3 linked regions of the Drosophila melanogaster genome follow. The protein of the gene in region 2 purifies or fractionates together with the protein of the main gene of each other region. This does not show direct contact. Each region holds a gene or a part of one and is shown on either strand. Other genes may lie near its edges. The genes, in order: Orc3, CG9890 and thoc5.

Region 1 (6,583 bases), 9.9 Mb from region 2:
GAGCAGCGTTTGGTCACAGTTGAGCTCTCGTCCTGCAGACTGCAGGCACCCAAAGTTTCGTCGATGGTAACATCATGGGCTGGCACCTGCGGCGAACTATCCATGTTGACCTTTCTCTTCTTCACTGGGGTCTTCTCCGTGGCCGTCTTCTTAGGCGTCGCCATCGGCGACACAGTCTTCGATTTCGTTTGGGATCTTAGTGGATCAGCCTGTTTTGGAGTCTGGGTGAGTATTGTGATGAGGCTTTTTGGCGTCTGCGGCGCTCTATTCGACGTTGAGGTCACCACAGTTTCGTCCGGCGACTGCTGGTGCAATTGCTCTAGTGCCATCTCAATGGCATCTTCTGCGATCCGCAGTTTCGGATATGTGGATTCTGCGGTGCTCGCTGCATCCTGCTCCTTCTTCAGCATGTCAATGGCAGTTTCCAGGATAACCTCGTCATGTTCATCGCTGTGATCCAGTTTTGTTGAATCGGGCTTGGCGTATAATATAGTAGCAGACTTTATTGGAGTTTCGTCCGAGGTGGTAAAAATAGTTGGATCTTTCATCTCTGCGCAAATCTTTTGGTCCTGTGTGGCTAGGTTCTCTTGATTTAAAGCGGAATCTGTGACAGCTGCTGGCGCTTCACCATGGTTGTCGACCTTTACAGCAAAATGGTCGATATTCGCCATCTTGGGCAACCGAATATCCTCAATAATCCTTACTCCCAAGTCGGACTCGACCACGGAGTTAACTTGATCCATCGGTTCTCGGATCTCTGCTTCATCATTCTCATCATGCTGAGAACACACATCAGCTTGAGACGTCGTATTCTTTGATAATACTATGTTGTCGTTGCTTTCTTCTTTGCTAGGAGTTTCAACAGCAGTTTCAACTGCAAAAGGCTCTTTTTTGTCTAACTTTGCCTGTGTCTCTTCAGATTCTTTTCCATCCTTGAATTTGTCCAGGGGTTGCTCATCAGCTGGGCAATCTTCAGCTAAAATGTTTTTACATTTTTCAAGTACTACAACTTTGGGAATAGGCTCCTTATTTAAAAGTTGGTGGCCAGAGTCTTCTGTACGATCCTGTAAGATTACAGGATCTAACTTGATCTCATTTTTAGAAAAATCCGCCGATTCTGGGTTAATTAAGCTTAACCCCGGAATAATCTCATGTTTTGGAATACAAGGTTCAGCAATTAAACCATTTGTCGGTTGAGTAATATCCTTCGTCTCTACTTTTGATTCCTTTGAGGAATTTGCATTGGTTTCTAAAGCAGCATCCCTTCGGTTGGAAACGACTTTTTCAGCCGGTTGAGATTCAGTTACGAGTTTGACGGTCACGGGGACTGGGCTCTTGCTGCGTTGGTCATTTGTTTCATCGTCAGTAAGTGTGATGATGGCATTTGCTTTTTCTCTTGGCAATTGTATCTTGCTACAAAAATCAGATGGTGCTATCAACAAATGTAACTTATGTCCCTCTGCTTTACTGACCTGGGCGATGCGGATTGGCTTCGCCGTTTGGCGTGCCGGGAACTGCTTTCTTGATTCCTGTGATGATCTCGCCGGGAATTATGTTTTGGACTCCGGCTGCGATGTGGATCTGGACGACGAGCCTGTGCAGTAGATTTCCGATCGGTGGTCTTTGAGTGTTCCGGCCTGGGAGACTTGCTTCTTTGGACCGATTTCTTGGCGTCTTCTCTTGTCCTAGATTTCCAAGCATCATCCTTTGAGGATGACTTCTTGTCATCATCTTTATTGGTCGCCATCTTATTATCCTCCTTGGATTTTACGCCTCTTTCAACATCTTTTGATACGACTTTCGTTGTGTCATCTTTTTTGGTCATCATCTTCCTAGCATCATCCTTAGCGGCGTCCTTTGCAGCCGTTTTGAACGGATTTCTATTCGTTTCCGGATATTTCCTGACATCGATTGGTGTAGATTGAAATTCTTTCGGACGCTTACTTTCGGGTTCCCTTGCACCTGGTACGTCAAACGCCCGTGCTCGTTTTCGTCGGAAGCATACATCGTCCTTTCTGTTGAACAATGTGTTGTTTGTTAAGAAGCAGGGAGTCAATATGCTAACTTACTCGTTTCGCAGCTCGGCAATCAGTGTCTCTTTTCTCTTTACCTCCGCCTTAGCTGTGTCCAGTAGATTCTGTAGATTAACCTCCATGGTTTTTATCTTCTTGCCAAGTGCCTTATTCTCAACCTTTAGCGCTTCAATTTCGGCCAGTGCCTTTTCGTATTTGGCTTCCCATGCCTGTAGCTCCTTGGTATTCTGTGAGATGGTAAATGGGTAACTCTGCTGAAAGGACGTATTCCTGCACAACTTACACGATCTTCGGCCTTCTGAAAGTCGTCCAAATCATCGTAGATGTCCAGTTCAAGGGATCTGTCCATTTGGTCAGGCTTCTTTGAACCTGCAGGCTCTATATCGTACAAATCGTGATAGATATCCAAATCCATGGATTTATCCTTAACGTTGGACTTCATCCCGCCCGCGTCCTGGTCTTCCAAATCCATCAAGTCCTCCAGAGCTTCGGGCAGCACCAGTTCTCCGCCAGATTTCGTGGCATATGCAGGCGTTTCCATACCAATCGCTTACGTTTCTTCTTGGCTGCCCTTTAAACAAGGATACATAAAATGAATTGTTAGAGTTACTGTTTTTTAATGGAGCTACTTTATTGATTACCTGTTCAGTCATAAATTGATCAAAATTCGAAACACAAAAGAATTTCAATGTTCTTGATTTTTGTTTCAGGGAATAAAAGTTCCACTAAAGCTCAATGGTCACTGTCCTGAGCATTTCCTCCAAACTGGCGTGCAATTTGTTTCCCTGCCGTGTATTTGTATAAATGTAATTATTATTATTATTCTATTTAATATTGTTAGAAAATCCCGTGTTGCCGCCAATCGATAACAGAAGATGCAGTTGATTATCGGAAGCAACAGCTGACCGGCTGAAAATGTGGCAACCCTGATAGTGGATATCGATATCCAGCAGCAACATTTGGCGCCAAAACGAATATTTTAAAAATTTTATTATGCACTTACGTGTTTTCCCAAGAATATAATTTTAAAATCAATCTAGTTCCCATTTCGTATTACTGTACACTTAAATTCGTTAAAAAAAAACATCACAATACAAACAATAATACTCGAGAAACACTACACAATGGCAGACATTCCGGAAAAAAGTTCTTACTACAAGAAGGAAAGAAGAAAGTTCGCTCTGATCACTTACCTACTAACCGCGATATTCCTGATCCTTGCGCTGTTGCAATGGGCCACTTTCCGCTTTGTGTACGTATGTATTTTCACATTACTTCATCCTCACTGCACTTTTTCTTAATTTTCAGAAATTTTCTAAGGGAATTTTTTACTTCGTACCATTGGTTGAGCTGCCTTTTTTTTGGAATAGGCCTGATACTCCTCGTACTTTTCATATTTTTCGAGGTACTGCGCTTTAATAAAATGGTAAACTGGTTGTTTGCCTTTCTAATTGTAAGTCTACAATGTGAAACATAACCTGGGTGGCAGTATGAACTTATTCTTTCCAGTTTGAATGCATTGTACTGGGGATTGCACCGCTGGTTGCCCGCCACTACAAGTATCAGTTTCTCTTCAGCTTCCTTATATGGACCGTAGCATTGGCGCTTTTTATTGTCTGTGGTTCCTTTCTTCCGGTAAGAAGAGTCCACATGAAAGCCATTTGATTCAAATCTGAAGCTTCACATTTTTATTGTTATCCCCTTAAGCTGGATCTTACTTTGGATGTTGTGGTGCTATTTGTGCTTGCAGTGGTTTCCATTATCGGCGCCATATACTTCGTGATGCTCTACATCGTGGCTAATGTCGCATACTCGTTTATAATCGCCCGTTGCTTTATAGTGATCAGCATCTTGATGGTTAGTACTGAGTCATACATTTTTGAATTAGTTTCTGTCATTTAGTTTCCTCCTTACAGTTTGTCATGTATCACGCGCAGATTATAAACGGTGGAAGGTTCGCCGAGATGCGCACGAAGGACTACTTCCTGGCAGCCATCATACTGTTCCTCGATTTCCTGCTCCTCTATCTTTTCTCATTCCAAGTGGCCCCAAAATGGTCGGATCGTTGCGATGGCGAACGTTCAAAAAACTTGGTGCTGTTCACAGAAACTACGACGAATTCGTATCCACCAAAATGGTGGCGTACGAGCACGAAGGGTATGATTTCTTATTATTAGTTCATGTTAGATGAAATATTCAATTAATTTATACTTTTCACACTTGTTTTCAAAGATACCCCCTAAAGTCGTTAGCCAACACTGCCGCCCGTTTGGCGCCAAACACAACAGCCAGCTGATTTCATTTCGCGTTCCTACCGGTGAAGAAACTTTAATTGGCACAGAGCTGACCTAAACAAATAAATAAATAAACGCAACCCGGCGACTTAAAGACTCCACGACATCGGGCCGCAGTGCAAAGCCAGCGATGGATCCCACCATTTCAGTGTCCAAGGTGAGTGGCTTCGGCTTCCAAACTGGACATAGATGTTTAACTACTTATTTTTGTTGTCTGCAGGGCTGTTTTGTCTACAAAAATGGCGCTACGAGAGCAGGGAAAAAGGCGGCCAGCAAACGGAAGCGTCCTGCCGCAGAATCCAGTAGTCTTCTTGGCAAAGAGGTAGTGCAGCAGCCCTTCTATGAGGAATATCGCAAGGCCTGGAATCAGATAAACGATCACATTGCCGACCTGCAGCACCGCAGCTATGCCCGCACTCTGGAGCAACTGGTGGACTTTGTGGTGGGGCAGGCAGAGCGCGACACCCCGGACGAGGTGCTGCCCACCGCCGCCTTGCTAACGGGCATTAATCAGCCGGATCATCTCAGCCAGTTCACGGCACTTACCCAGCGACTCCATGCCCAACGTGCTGCAATGGTATGTGTGCTGCAGTCCAGGGATTGCGCCACTCTCAAGGCGGCCGTTGAGACATTGGTTTTCGGGCTCGTAGAAGATAATGCAGAAGTGGAGCAAATGGAAGACGAGGACGAGGACGAGGATGGTGCCGAACGGGATCGCAAGCGGCTACGTCGCTCGCAGTGCACCATGAAGCAGTTGAAGTCTTGGTACACGAACAATTTTGACTCGGAACAGAAGCGCCGCCAGCTGGTCGTCATCCTTCCCGACTTTGAGTGCTTTAACGCAAGCGTGCTGCAGGATCTTATTCTAATTTTGAGCGCTCACTGCGGCTCGCTTCCATTCGTCCTGGTCCTGGGAGTGGCCACGGCCATGACAGCTGTCCATGGGACACTACCATACCACGTCAGCAGCAAGATTCGTCTAAGGGTGTTCCAGACTCAAGCTGCTCCCACGGGCCTTAATGAGGTAATATTCCTTAACTCTGTGCTAGTTTATGTACTAATCGGTTTTCTAACAACCTTTAGGTGCTGGATAAAGTTCTGCTGTCGCCCAAGTACGCTTTCCACCTGTCGGGAAAGACATTCAAGTTCCTGACGCACATCTTCCTATACTACGACTTCTCCATCCACGGCTTTATTCAGGGCTTCAAGTACTGCCTGATGGAACACTTCTTTGGTGGGAATGCCTTTGCTCTTTGCACAGACTACAGCAAAGCATTGGGACGCATAAAGCAGCTGACCCACGAGGATATGGAAACCATCAGAAGGCTCCCATCGTTTCGTCCGTACGTCGAGCAGATCAATGATTGCAAACGCATCATAGCCGTGCTCACGGACGATGACTACCTAAAGAAGAAACTGCCGCAGTTGCTGCGCGACTGCCTGCTCCACTTCCTGCTTTTCCGCTGCTCTCTGGAGTTCCTTACAGAGCTGGTTGGTGATTTGCCGCGCTGTCCGCTGGGAAAGCTACGCCGGGAACTGTACGTCAACTGTCTTAATCGTGCGATCATTTCGACGCCGGAGTACAAGGAGTGCCTGCAGATGCTAAGCTTTCTGTCCAAGGACGAATTTGTTGCTAAAGTGAATCGAGCCCTGGAAAGAACCGAACAGTTCCTGGTTGAAGAAATTGCTCCGCTGGAATTGGGCGAGGCCTGCACTGCTGTGCTGAGACCTAAGTTAGAAGCTATACGCCTTGCAGTGGACGAAGTGGTCAAGGCCACCATGGCGACAATTACAACGACATCGCCCAATGAAACCCGCCAGGCGACTGACCATTTGACTCCGGTGGCCTCGCGTCAAGAATTGAAAGATCAGCTCCTACAGCGTAGCAAGGAGGACAAGATGCGGCATCAGCTGAACACGCCCACCACCCAATTCGGACGAGCTCTACAAAAGACTCTGCAGCTTATCGAAACGCAGATTGTACAGGATCATCTCCGTGCGCTGCAGGATGCACCACCTATTCACGAACTTTTTGTGTTCAGCGACATTGCTACCGTGCGGCGAAACATAATTGGTGCTCCGCGGGCTGCACTGCACACTGCCCTGAATAATCCACATTTTTACATGCAGTGCAAGTGCTGCGAGCTACAAGATCAATCACTGCTGGTTGGCACACTGCCCGATCTCTCCGTGGTTTACAAGCTGCACCTGGAGTGCGGTCGCATGATCAACCTTTTCGACTGGCTGCAGGCCTTT
Region 2 (6,583 bases):
TAGAGTTGCGGCTGTCCGGCCGGCGAAGGGCAGACTCATCGATTTTCTGGCCGCCGTTGCGTAAAATGCAGTGCGAAAAAAGTGCGCAGCCATTGTGATGCGAATGCGGATGCGGAAAATTGCAGAAAACACTTTCACGGGCGGGCGGGCGAATCAGAATACTTTCACACAAGCGCTTTGGACACAGACTGAAAAATGATTGGCAGTGGTTTCTTGCTTTTTCTCCTCTCATTTGCGTACTGCACACACAGACTCACACAGGCACACACGCCCGAATGCACGCACACAGGCACAGGCCAATGCACACGGACTGAACTTTGTACCCAGTGCAGACGAGTCTCAATTTGTATTGTCAAATGGCCAGAATGCTAAATTGATCAAATTGAGATTCTGGGCTCGAATCTTGCTCCCAGGCGGTGCGTGTGTGCGTGAGTGTCTGTGCGGCGTATCTGTGTGCAACATCGATGATATTTTAATTGGCCAGCAGCTGAATCGGTGGCCGTAACACTTACGCTAACGTCGAGCTCCCGTGTTTCGATTTTTGTTTGCAAATAAATTCAATTCCGCCCCCAACCGCAGCACAGTGTGACCGTTCGCGGGGAGTTCCAACGGTAAACTGGTATTTTGGCATCTGATAGTATTTCATTAATTTATTTGGTATTTTCTACACAGCGAGAAAGCTATAGACCGTTATTAGTGGCTTCTCTTTAAGCCAAAAAATGAAACTGGCCATAACAAGATGCTTCTCTTATTCAGGAGCGAGCTGGTACCTCGCGAAGCTTCTCGGTGCGGTCCTCGTGGGTAATGATGACCTCCACGGCGCACATGTTGGGCGTCAGGAAGTTCTCCAGGATCTCGGAGCCTCGACGCGGCTTGCGATCGAAGGGGAAGCCCATGGACTTGCGATCCGGATAGAGGCGATCGCGCAGGCCGCAGTAGGAAGCGGCGATGCTGCAGCCGCAATCTGCGACCGTCTGGTCAACCTGCACAAGGAAAGAGGATTGGGATCAGGAGGCATTCGCAGTATACTCTAAAGACACCTTACCTTATCCTCTTCGTAGTTGGAAACCATGACGAAGAGCTCGAAGCGCAGACCCTCGGGCCGACCCTTCGGAATCAGCATGTGCTGGGGCCAACCGCAGCCGCACAAGAAGTTCTGCAGCTCCTCCAGCTTGTCCAGGTTGCGGAAGGTGCGCTCGAACGGAATGGTGACACTCGACTCCGTGGAGTTCCGGGTGATCGTATGGCTGCCGGGAGGCATGGTAACCACGAACTTGTCCAGCTCCACCATCATCAGGCGCTGTTGCTCCAGCAGCATGGGTGCATTGCGATCATCCAGCTTGGGCGCCAGGAAGATGCGCACGTAGCCATACCGCGTGGCCTCGCTGGAGTTCTCCACCTTGATGGTGTAGCTGAATTCGTGGTGCTGCAGATGGGTGAACCGAGCGAGGACATGGCCGCGCGGCACAAAATCAAGGCCACGGGACATGTCCACATCGGACTCCTGCCAGAAGGTGGTCAGCCTGTTGACCTGACCCTGGCTCTCCACCTGGATGCTCTCGACGCGAACGTCCGGAAAGCTGAGCTCTTGCTTCTCATAGGGAGAAAGCAGACGTTTGTGCTCCTGGAACATATTGTCGATGAAGGCGTGCCACTTGTAGAAGATCGGATCGCGCATCGCGGTGGAGGCGTCGCCCATCACGCCCGCGTACTCCAGGTGCTTGTTGGTCGGATCGTGTGAGTAGGCAATCAGTATGTGCCCCATGTTGTGGAAGTCGCCGTACTGCAGATGGAAATAATATACATGGAAAGGTGATCTACAGATTATCACTTAGATTCCTTACCAGCGTACTGTTGGGCGTCAGATCGGAAGCCTCGATGATGTTGCCCAGGATGTCGATGCCCTTAGCGTCATCCAGCACGATCTTTTCATTGTTCGTCTAAAAAATAACCAATTAGTTGTTGGATGCATGTACTCCTGGAATCGGAGAGCTCCCCACTCACATCCAAAACGTAGCCCTGATGGATGGCCTCGTAGATGCGTTCGCGCCAGCGCTTCATATCATCGATGCCAACCCTCAACTGGTTGTTAGGCCGGTCCACATCGCTCAGCCGGGTGTTATCGAAGCGCGGAGGATACGCCCTACTGGCCACCAGCGAGTCCATCTTGGGGAAGTAGCCCTCGGCAATTGGTTCGTCCAGGTTGTTGAACGGCTGCACCCGGGCCATGTGGTTGCTCAGCCGCTCGGCATTGTAGCGGGCAATGATCTGCTGGTGCATATAGTAGAACAGCTCGCCACGACGGTCCTTGTCCACGATGCTGCGGTCGGGCGCCTCTATGGGATAGACCAGATGCCAGTGCCAGTGGTGCAGGTTGACGCCCAGGTCCTCGCGGAAGTACCACAGCCGGTGCTCCACATCGAGATCGGAGGCGGTGTACTTGACCGAACTGACGACGGGCAGGCGGGCGGCGGAGCGCTCCACCACAAAGGACTCCTCGCGCATGCTGCGAAGCATCTTCGAGTCGATAAAGCGATCCGGGAAGGTCTGCGCAAAGGCGGGCAGTTCGAGGTCCTTGGTGTCCGGACGGTGGAGCAGGGCCACCGACAAGGCGTAGTTGAAGAGCACCGGATTGACGCGATCCCTGGCGTACACCGCCACGCTCTGCAGCTCATCCACGGTCTGCATTTTGGTGAAGATCTCGATCAGGTGGCTGGCCATCTTGCGGTGGGACTTCAGGAAGATCGAGAACTGCTCCGAGCGGCCCAGTCTCATGGAGCAACTGAGATCCGGTATGGCGATCTCCTTGACTTGAACGTTCTTCTCGGACGCGCTGCTCACGCGCCGCTGGACCTTCTTGCACATCTGATTGTAGCGATCGGTCACGTAGGAGTCGGGCACGTCGAAGACGGTGCCATTGCCACCCTTGTCCATGAACACGGGCTCCGTGGGATGATCGAACAGAAGGAGCAGATTCTTCTTGTCGGCCATTTTCGATGGATTCGCGATTAGGAGGACCTTTAGCGAGCAGTTGCTGATTCTCAACTGCACGTCCCCACCCAACTATCAGCTCCTTTTATACCCAGCAGCCGAAATGCCCTATGGTTACATGGCGAACATCTCAAGTTCGTCAACCCCAAAAAACAATCTAAAATATTACTAACTTAAGAATTTTTAACTATTGCCATAGTATAAGCATTGAATCACAGAGTTCCGAAAAAAACATTTTTAACCGATAAGATGCTGCTGATTCATCATAGTCTGTTGAAAACTTAACGAACAATGTATTTGTAAGTTTCAGAATTTTAATTCACAGATAAGTTACAAATATTTGAATCGTATAATATCCTATAAGGATATTAACATTTCCAGTACGTGTTGTCTACATCGAAAATACTGAATATCATTTTTTGATTATTTAGTCTTCATAAGACAGTTGTAAGTATTTATTTAATTTTTTTTGTGCATTAAATTAAATTCATTAAATTTTCAATTGTTTCCAGTGTACGTCATAATTAAGCTTATCTCGCAAACAGTATTTTGCCGCTAAGCACCTGCGGTCACACTTATTCGTGGAGCACCAGGAGAACGTAAACAAATGGAGCACGAGGTGGCTGTTTCAGGAGGGGATTCCTCGCTGGAGGAGATCACTGGCAGTTCGAAACTCAAGCCCTCCAAGAACACGGCCATCAAGTGCCTGAAATGCGACAAGGTGTACATATTTCCGTCAGATAAAGATGACTGCCTGGCGCATTTGTATATGGAGCACCGACTGGTCATCGCCGATGTGGAGGATATAGCGCTTCTGGAGGACTACCTCCAGTACTGGGAAAAGGAGTTTCACAGTGAGAGAATCAGCAACCCTACCCTGAAAATTTAATAATTGTTACCCATTTTAGCCCACGAATTCGAGCAATATTGCACCACAATGTTCCTGGATCAGCTGCCCGATGGCAAGTACGCCAAGAACGAAAAGTACTACCTGCTGTGTGACATCCTGCCCCAGGACTACGAGCTGCGGCGAAGGTTGAAGGAGAAGCGCCTAAGTGAAGCCCTGGAGCGACATCAGTTCGAGCTAACCGACCGCACCTTCTCCAAGGAGTGCCTTTTCTGCAGGGCCATCATCAAGGGATTGAGGGCGGACTATCTGGACCATCTGTTTGACAAGCACTTTCTGTTGGTCGGCAAGCCCGAGAAGCTGGTGTATGTGGACGAACTGCTGGATCACCTGGAGGAGAACTTGAATCGGTTAATGTGCCTCTACTGCGAGAAGATCTTCAGGGATCGGCCCACGCTCAAGGAACACATGCGCAAGAAGGGCCACAAGCGGATCAATCCGAACCGAAGGGAGTACGACAAGTACTTCCTTATCAACTACAATCGTGTACCAACGGCCCCCACGCCCCGGAAACAGCACCTCCAAAAGCGAAGACGGGAAACGGCATCCGTGTCCACAGTTGCTGATCCTGAAACCGGCAGCGTGGACTTCGACAAGCACTTCGCTCGCCCTGATTCGGATGGCGAACACGATTCGGACTGGTCGGATTGGGCGGCAGATGGTGAGCCTAGCTCCATTAAGTGCCTGTTTTGCCACCATCTCGGCGACAACTTCACCGCCCTCAAGAAGCACATGCACGAGGTTCATCGCTTGGATTTCGAGAAGGCCACCAGCTCTCTGAACTTCTACCAACGCGTCAAGGTGGTCAACTACCTGCGCCGCCAAATGTGCCTGCTGCGCTGCGTGACCTGCGATCTGCAGTTCGACGAGGAGGAGCTGCTCGTGGAGCACATGGCACAAGAGTCGCACCACGGAATCGGCGATAAGGAGAGCTGGGACAAGCCCGAGTTCTTCTTCCCGTACATCGAGAACGATGGTCTGCTGTGTGTGCTGGATGATTCCGGAGGCGATGACCCGGACGTCGATACGGTGCGCATCATCTCCGAGGATAGTCTGGCGCAGATCAACAAGGATGCGGAGCGGTTGTCCCTCGAGAATTTTAAGCTGTTGTAACTGAGATTTTTGTATTGTACAGTTTACGTTTAAAAGAAACTAAGTAAATAGCAATGGAATTTAAGTGTGTACTATATTTATAGATACGTATGCACCAAAAACTTTATGCAGAGGAGCTAAATATTTTATTTAAATACCATATTTTTTAGTCCGCATAAGGGTTAATTCGTTCTGCTTAGCGAGTACAAGAACCTTGCCACCAAGCTAACGTTGCCACCTTTTCGTTGGACATCGATTGTTTTGCAGACTGACATCATTCCCATCAAAACGAACAAAATAAAGAGAAATTCAGCGAAAAATGGAGGCACTGGACATTCTGGAGAAGCGCATCGATGCCCTGACACGAGTCCTGGGTCCGGTCCAGGACTCTGAGGTGGGCGAGGGCGTGGTCGACGCCCTGTGCTCGGCACACGCCATCCTGGGCGAAGCAACCACAGGAAGTGCTGCACTGCAGCAGTGCGTGAAGAGATCTGACGAGCTGGAGAAGTACCTGGACCCCAACTTCCTGGAGGAGCACCAGCAGGTGCGCTCCAAGGAGGTGTACCTGCAAGCCGTGGCCCCCGAGCTGCACACGCAGGCCGAGCAGCTGGAGAGGATTAAGCAGCTGGAACCGGCCCTGGGCGCGGAGTACTTCCGCAGCATTCCCGCCGAGTGTCTGGAGCAGCTAAAGGGCATAACGCAGAACAACGGGGAGTACGCGCAGCAGAGCGAACTTATCGAGGAGAGTCTGGTCCTGGCCATGAAGCGATATGGCGAGATCCAGGCGGGACTGCTGAGCTCCCTGGATGCCATGAGCGAGCGCTTGGACCAGGTAGAGGAGCGCATGGAGCAGAGGAAGCGTGCAGAGTTGAGCAAGGATGTGCCGCCCAAGGATTGAGCGGATATAGATCCAAAGACTGCTGAAAGTATTTTATACGACCCCGTTTCCAAATCCGTTCACCTGAAAATCTGGTTCCACTTAAGCTGAAGGCATCAGTTGCTCAAGCAATGGATGTAACCTAGGTTCTATTGAAAAGTGTAATCGTAGCTAAAGCCATCCCGATTTGATTGGAACTGTTTAAGGAAGCCGGGATATTAGATTTTCTAACTACTCCAACGTAAAGTGGCTAATGATGCTCTTTCAATTGTAAGTTTCATTTTTAAAAACTATTTAACTAAGCACAATAAACTAAATTACAAATCTAATGAAAACCAATCAAAATCCTGTCTTACAGAAGGAAAATGCTATAATCACATAATAGAGCACAATATGGATTTATCATTGGCTGAATTTTATTTTTATTATCTATACAATGTATACAATACGATGTGACACTTATGTATGTAGGAATTGTAGAAGGAAATAGTTACAAAATAATAATTTACCCGCGGAAACGCTCTTTCAACAGTAAATTTCCAATGCTAAAGTTTATATTGTCCGGACAATAAGAAACTTAGCCAGAATTAAAAGTAGTTGGCGCACCACAAGCCGAATCCAAAGGATATCCTCTTCACCAACATACAAGGCACAGTCTTGACTTTTCTTCTTCCCAAGAACAAAGTCCGGCGCTCCTAGAATCGCAGCTCGTTTCT
Region 3 (6,583 bases), 890 kb from region 2:
TAATTTAAGATCGTGGTTTTCGTCTTATGCATTTCAGGATGGACAGAATGCTGCTTCGCTCACGCTGGCCGAGCAGTACATTGGAGCCTTCAAGAAGCTGGCCAAGACGAATAACACCATGATCTTGCCCTCGAATCCCGGGGATGTTAATGGCTTCGTGGCCCAGGCCCTGGCGGTGTACAACCACGTTTCCAACTCTAACCAGGCCACCAAGTCATCGGAAAACGTGAAGGGTGTGGGCGCCTGCCTGAACGCAAAGAGTGTTGAGTACAAGGAGTTGCAGGAGGATAAAAGCAGTGTGAAAATGAATATTGAATAGGAATGAATAAACGGTTGTTGCTATTACATTTGCCCCACTCATAGTTGTTATTATCAAGGCGAGGATATTAAATTTTTGGTTCAACAAATAAACGCCTATTTATTTACTTCGGAAGGTACTTCAACAGTCGAACCTCGTGCGACAGCCACAATGCGAAACTCAGCAGAATAAGCGAGCCCGACTGGTGGGCCGTTGCCAGAGGCACGGGCACGTAGTTAAGCAAGGTGGTTACGCCAAGCGTGGCCTGCGTCCAGGCCATAGCCACCACGGCGTTGATGGCCCAGTTGGCGCGCTTGGGCAACTGCATCCTTCTGGTGACCAGCCACAGAGCGGTGGTCAGCGTTACTGTGCTAATACCAAGGATGCGGTGATTGAACTGCACCGTCGTCGGATTCTCGGTGATGTTCTTCTGTATGGGCGCAAACGTCCACATGTCATCGGGAATCCACTTGTCGCCCATCTTCGGGAACGAGTTGTACACGAGTCCGGCGTCTAGTCCGGCTACAAAGGCTCCAGAAATGGCAGTCAGCAGGACCATTGCCTTCGTCAAATGCGTCAGCCCCTTGATATTAAATGCTTTCTTGGCTTGGATCACGAATGTGTTCGTGGGGATGAGCAGGGACATGGCCTTTGACAGGGAGAGTGAGTACAGGACGAAGGCAGCTGCCAGGTGGGAGGCCAATCTATACTGGGATACCCGTGGCACGTCGTTGGGATCCTGGAACCTGTCTTCCAGCCCGGACTTGACCATGTACCATCCCATCAGACCTTGCAGGCCAATCAGTGTGCCCAGCAGCAGGACGCTCTTCTTGGTCTTCGCACAGAAGTATCCCTTTCTCCAGAAGTAAACAGCGGGCAAAAGGAAGAACCCGCCGATGGCACGACCCCACATCCTGTGCATGTACTCCATCATGAAAATGAACTTGAACTCCTCCACGGTCATATTCACATTCTTTCTGAAAGCAGAAGTTTGCATGTAGTTCCTGGCGTTGGATGAATCTGGGGAGTACTCACAGCTTGTACTCTGGGTATTGCTGGTAGAGATTGAACTCCTGCACCCATTCCTCCTGGGTTCGGGGCATACGTTCACCCGTCAGCTTCCAAGTGACCATGGACAGTCCGGACTCTGTCAGTCGGGTTACTCCGCCTGGAAGAGATTCACTTTCGCAAGGAACTACAAACTTTACATTTTGTTATTGGTTACCTAGACCAACGGCCACGAAGACCATGCCGCTGACTCCCAGGAACCATCTTCCGACGGTCTTGTCGCTTTTCGGAGTGCTGATGGGCTTTATCACTGGGATTTCCTGAAAGGTGCGGCATTAACAAATATTACTTTATAAATAAAAACATATTTTTATATGTAATCAGTGGGATATTAATGCAACCTTTATCGCTGTTTGCGCAATCGTCTGGTGAAGTCGGGGGCCGGGTACTACTAGCTTTATGAGATTGGTTCTCTTCTGGAGCAATCGCAGCATTGTGTTATTTCAAGTTTGGAGAGATTAACTTAAGCTTACAGCAAATATTAAAGGATATATTTTGTTTTTTAACTATATTTACAAAGCCGCTACCAAGTGTGACCGCAGCAGTGGGGTATGCGCATATACTAAAATCATTTTGAAAAGTACCGGCGAATGTTATCGACTCGATAGCCTGGCCACATTATATCAGTTTTGTTAATAAAAACAACTTTTGCGGCTTCTGATTTACAATTTCGCCAAATAAAATGGAAACAATATTGAACACGCAGTTCGATCAGCTGCAAAAGGCCATAGAGGGAATTAAGGAGGCGAAGAGCAAGGTAAGTCCGATTTCCGTGCCAGAGTACAGCTCTAAATCCGTCCACATCCGTCACGAGCAGGGGCAATCGACGGATGAGGCTCGCATTGCCACCACCTTGATGTTCGTGGCTCTGAAGCACGCCAACCGCGAGGTGAAGCACAAGATCAAAGCGGGGCGCGACAAGCTGCACCTGGAAAAGTGCAAGGTGGACCTCAGCCGGCTGCAGCTGCAGAATCTTCTGTACGAAGTGAGCCACCTGAAGAAGGAGATTGTGCGCTGCCAGAAGTTCAAGAGCAGGGACACCAGCTTGGAGCTGCTCTCGGAAGCCGAGTACTCCAGCGAGCTGCCAGACATGCCCAACGACGCGGAGGAGCTGTCCAGCCACAAGCAGCACCTTCATCGCCTCGACTGCGAGCTGCGTCTGCGGAAGGCACTCGACAAGCAGTACAGCGCCCTGCTGAGCTCCAAGCAGGAACTGCTCCAGGACAATCTTAGCCACGCCCAGCGGTACGTCTCCTTCGCACCCGCCTTGCGCACTCTGCAGAGCGCCACAAAGCCGCTGCACGATGCACTCCAGCTATCCCTGGACGTGGAATGGAAGCTAAGCGCAGTGGTCAAGTACCTGCCCAAGCCGCTCTACGTTTTGTTCATTGTCCTGCAATCGCTGCAGCGGGTCAGCGAGGAGCAGTCCTTCACCGCCGAGGTGGTTGGCTATGAGAGCGAGGCTCAAATGCAGGAGTTGCTTAAGGAGAAAAAGTGCTCCACATTGAACTACAGACAGACTAAAAAGGAAAGTGGAGACCGGGAAAAGATTGCCGATAAAAACAACTTGGACGACTCACTCGCTCCTCACCCACTACACATTTGTTTGACGGTAGGATGACATGGTTTGCTCATTCCAAAACATTTATTAACCTAAACTTTAAAGATTGGAGCGGCTGGATCGAATCAGCTCGTTTTGCAGATTCGCTACTTTGATTTTATCAAGTGTGCCACTGTCTGGGGCCAACTTAACTGCTCCAGGAATGCCAACGGCCAGGGGTAAGTTTGGAACACACCTAGGAAAAAATCGCATAAATAACTAGGCATTTTTTCACAGTGACACAAACTTTGTTCACCACCTATTGCGGCATTTGTACCCCAATGACTTGGGCAATGAATTACCCATTCCGGGAATCCAATACGAGGTAAGAACTTCCTTATCCAACGTTGGACAACCAATTAAATTACGCTCTTTCAGCTACGAAGCTCGGATTTAACAGCCGAGGAATGTGTGCGCTACCTCAAGGCCAAGGACTACGGAAAACCCTTCTGTTGGCTGCAAAGTATGTGCTCGATTGCAACCGTCAACAGTTCGATGCTGTACAAACACGAACTGAACTTGAATAAGAACAACAAGGAGATTATTGACCGCATTGCCAGGCGCTTGAACTCTTGGCAGCGTTTAAGCCAGCAGATTCGCGGGCTGACCTTCAAGGATATCGATTTGTATAGCTTGCAGGAGAACATCTATCCAGCCGGCCTGTCGTGCAGTCTCGTCCAATGGACTGCCATCACACATGAGGAGCTTCACTCGCAAATTTCAGACGCACTGAATTCTTCGTCAGCGGACAAGGGTATTACGTACAACTCTTACCGCGCTGTCATCGTCCGGGGATCGGCCAAAATGGAGTGCTTTATTAGAATACCGAGTAACTATCCACTGGAAATGCCTCTATGGATTCTGAATGTGCACTGGAACGGATGCCTTACCGCGCAAAACAATTCGGCGATCAAGGTTTGAACTTATTCAGGTATTATCCTCCAATTAGCTTTTAAACTTGTATTCCTCAGATGATGGAGTTCTGGACCAACTCCCTGCAGCCCAAACATTTGGAGCCCAACGACTGCATCCTGTACGCGCAGCTCTTCCGCACCATCTACAGCTTCGATATATTCCTCGAAACCGAGGGATCCATGCAAAACACCATTGAGTACAACAAGGAGAAGCCTTACATAAGCGCCTTCGCCAAGCGGAGCCGCTCACGCCCCTACAAATACATCAAGAAGGGATCGGTCTACGCGTTCAAGCAGTGACAGTTGAATAACGAATGTTGTACAACACAATGCGCCAATGCGGTTACTAAACGTTCTCACAGTTGCGTTTATTACGATTAGTAATACAATAAATAAGTAACATTTAAAGCTAGCTAGCTACGACTTCATTGGCAGTTGATCTTCTGGGAAGAGGTCGCTGCCAAGGATCCGGGAGGTAGTGCCGTCGCAGAAGGGTTCTCAACCGCCTCCCGACTCTCGTCCGGCATCACTTTGTCCACGACGTGCTTGACGATCAGCCCATCGTCGCCCAGATAGCAGACAGAGTAGCCGTCGTACCAGGCCTCCTGATCCTTCAGCACCTCCTTCAGTTGCCAGAGCTTGTACTTCCAGAACTGGAACATGACCTTCAGGCCGGAAATGCCGCGCACTCGCCACCTTATCCGCACTGTGTAGTCGTCCTGGTGCTTCGTGATCTTGAGCACCTCGAATTTCACGTAGGCGTACTTCAGGTGGCCAACCGTTCGCAGGATGGCGATCTGTTTGACGTAGTGGTACAGGCCCACCGTGTGCTTGCCCGTTATGTTGTTGTGGAAGATTAGGCCCGGGCTGTAAATGGAGTAGTCTAGGGGCTCCACGAACAGCTTTGGTAGCGTGGTCCTCAGAACCTCGTAGGCTCTATCCAGGTCCTCGGGCTTACGCTCGTTCTCCTTAGGGTTCCCGGGCAGCCTCTCCGCTTTGGTGCTCTCGTAGGCCCTTCGACTTTGCTGGAGGTTATTGGCGGCATGGCTGTTTAACAACTTTTGTGGACACTTCGCCGGCGCAGACGCACTTAGCCGCATGGCGGACGCCCACGCCCGCTCCTTGGAGCACCAGTTGGCCATCCAGCTGCTCCTTCTTATTGATGAAATCCCGAAATTTCGCAACATCTTGCAAGGACTTTGTGTGCTACTTCCTTCACCGGAACTGGGTTTCCTCGATTCAGATCTGCCTCGTCTGCAGATCACACCATTCAAATTGAACTTAGATCCTGGCTATTTTTCGTTTGCGGCCCTCAGGAATTTGACGTGCTCGTGTTTAGGTAACAACATTTGGAAATAAAATACTCGGCAAAAATCATATGGTCGTTGGGCTGCAGTGTGGCCAGACTGTGTGTAATGTCCCAATAGCTGCGAGTGCCAGTGTGGATGTTAGGGGAACTCCCGTTGTCCAGGGTTGTCATGCCGGATTAGTTTCACAAATTAACTTCCGCAACCGGAAGTCATGAAAATGGAAAATATAACTTATTTGGTTTGAATTTAGTGTTTCAAGCTTATTACATGAAATATGTTGTCTCTTTTTTGAAGTGCAATAATCTCAAACACTTTTCATTTATGTAAGTACATGGTTTTGGAGTTGCCTTATGCGGTTTTCTTGGTTGTTCTTCTGATAAATGTTTGGTACCTCAACAAGCATCGAATCCAGGCACTCGCATCCGCATCGAATCCCACAGGAGGCGTTTGACGAGAAACTGTTGCACTTTACAGTACTAAATGGTTTTGTGCGCAGACTTGCTGCGCAGACCAATTTGTTACAAGCTCGAATCACACACAAATCTGGGGGCATACACATATATCTGTCTGCAGGTAAACACGTTGTTTACAGCCACCCAGCTATATAACACTAATTTGAGCTGAGGAGCTTTCGCTGGCTGAAAAATCGACTTTTATTTGAGCTTAAACCCATAGAGCCTCGTACTATGACGCGCTAATCGGTGACCGTATTATTGAGTGCCAAATTCTCGACTTAGTTGCAATGTCTACTCGACTCTGCTAGCCCTAGTATTGAGAAAAATCAATAGGAAGTAAATAAAAATGCTGCATGCCTGAAACTCGCTTTGCGGATACTCTTAAACTACGTATAATCAATTTTTCTATCGGTAACCGAGCTATCCAAAATGTACGGAATCACTCAATCAACTGTTAACGTAAGTACCCAACCGGCTGTCCGGGATAACTTTCCGTTCTAGTCCTCAGCGATTATTGATTGGCCTTGAAACCCAACCAACTGCCAATGTGGGCTCTCCTTCCCCTCTCCAGAATCAACGCTTTCGAGTTCGTGATATGGATAACGAGCAGATCATGTCCACTTTTGGGAACATAGGTCACCTGCTGAACATTGCCGTGGAGCGATTTATAACCATTGGCGAGATCATCGCCGAGGAGAATATTGACATCAAGGGAGACATGTACGAGGCGGCGAAGGAGGCCAGAGATGCGGGTAAGAAGACATCCTTTCCAGCCTGGTACATCCTTTTCATTGTATTTTGTTGTACGATAGGAAAATCGATTGAACGACTTTGTGATATTTCACCTCTAAGCGGCATGGAGCTGCGCCACCACATCGAGCCCCTTAAGGACTATGGAGCCATCATTTTGGCGGCCCGCTCCCTGCTGTCGTCCGTCA

Evidence for each region.
Region 1: the proteins of CG9890 (region 2) and Orc3 purify together in Drosophila melanogaster (affinity purification with western blotting, with the first as the bait; one study listed by BioGRID). This does not show direct contact.
Region 3: the proteins of CG9890 (region 2) and thoc5 purify together in Drosophila melanogaster (affinity purification with western blotting, with the first as the bait; one study listed by BioGRID). This does not show direct contact.

Annotation. Positions count from the first base shown.
Region 1 is NT_033778.4:13,203,083-13,209,665, reverse strand, and holds the start of Orc3 (origin recognition complex subunit 3), read left to right. Parts: upstream 1-3,118; 5' UTR 3,119-3,157; coding exon of another isoform or gene 3,158-3,285; intron 3,286-3,341; coding exon of another isoform or gene 3,342-3,486; intron 3,487-3,542; coding exon of another isoform or gene 3,543-3,668; intron 3,669-3,740; coding exon of another isoform or gene 3,741-3,890; intron 3,891-3,949; coding exon of another isoform or gene 3,950-4,190; intron 4,191-4,265; coding exon of another isoform or gene 4,266-4,276; 5' UTR 4,277-4,457; coding exon 4,458-4,484; intron 4,485-4,547; coding exon 4,548-5,351; intron 5,352-5,410; coding exon 5,411-6,583. Other genes in the region: FLASH (FLICE-associated huge protein), read right to left, coding at 1-1,413, 1,473-2,015, 2,070-2,260, 2,317-2,574; CG34315 (uncharacterized protein), read left to right, coding at 3,158-3,285, 3,342-3,486, 3,543-3,668, 3,741-3,890, 3,950-4,190, 4,266-4,276.
Region 2 is NT_033778.4:23,061,237-23,067,819, reverse strand, and holds CG9890 (uncharacterized protein), read left to right. Parts: upstream 1-3,559; 5' UTR 3,560-3,598; coding exon 3,599-3,845; intron 3,846-3,899; coding exon 3,900-5,011; 3' UTR 5,012-5,073; downstream 5,074-6,583. Other genes in the region: l(2)k09913 (lethal (2) k09913), read right to left, coding at 1-93; PPO3 (prophenoloxidase 3), read right to left, coding at 753-983, 1,046-1,783, 1,845-1,940, 2,005-2,991; DCTN3-p24 (dynactin 3, p24 subunit), read left to right, coding at 5,310-5,888; Fatp2 (fatty acid transport protein 2), read right to left, coding at 6,563-6,583. UniProt on the Drosophila melanogaster protein: DNA binding protein which is involved in the positive regulation of both basal and inducible transcription.
Region 3 is NT_033778.4:23,952,116-23,958,698, forward strand, and holds thoc5 (thoc5), read left to right. Parts: upstream 1-1,975; 5' UTR 1,976-2,048; coding exon 2,049-2,123; intron 2,124-2,183; coding exon 2,184-2,978; intron 2,979-3,032; coding exon 3,033-3,145; intron 3,146-3,203; coding exon 3,204-3,291; intron 3,292-3,344; coding exon 3,345-3,881; intron 3,882-3,937; coding exon 3,938-4,180; 3' UTR 4,181-4,291; downstream 4,292-6,583. Other genes in the region: Stoml2 (stomatin like 2), read left to right, coding at 38-319; CG3803 (uncharacterized protein), read right to left, coding at 423-1,275, 1,334-1,466, 1,524-1,626, 1,708-1,800; CG16787 (uncharacterized protein), read right to left, coding at 4,306-5,067; alpha-Catr (alpha-catenin related), read left to right, coding at 6,075-6,104, 6,217-6,397, 6,458-6,583. UniProt on the Drosophila melanogaster protein: The THO complex is required for cell proliferation and for proper export of heat-shock mRNAs under heat stress.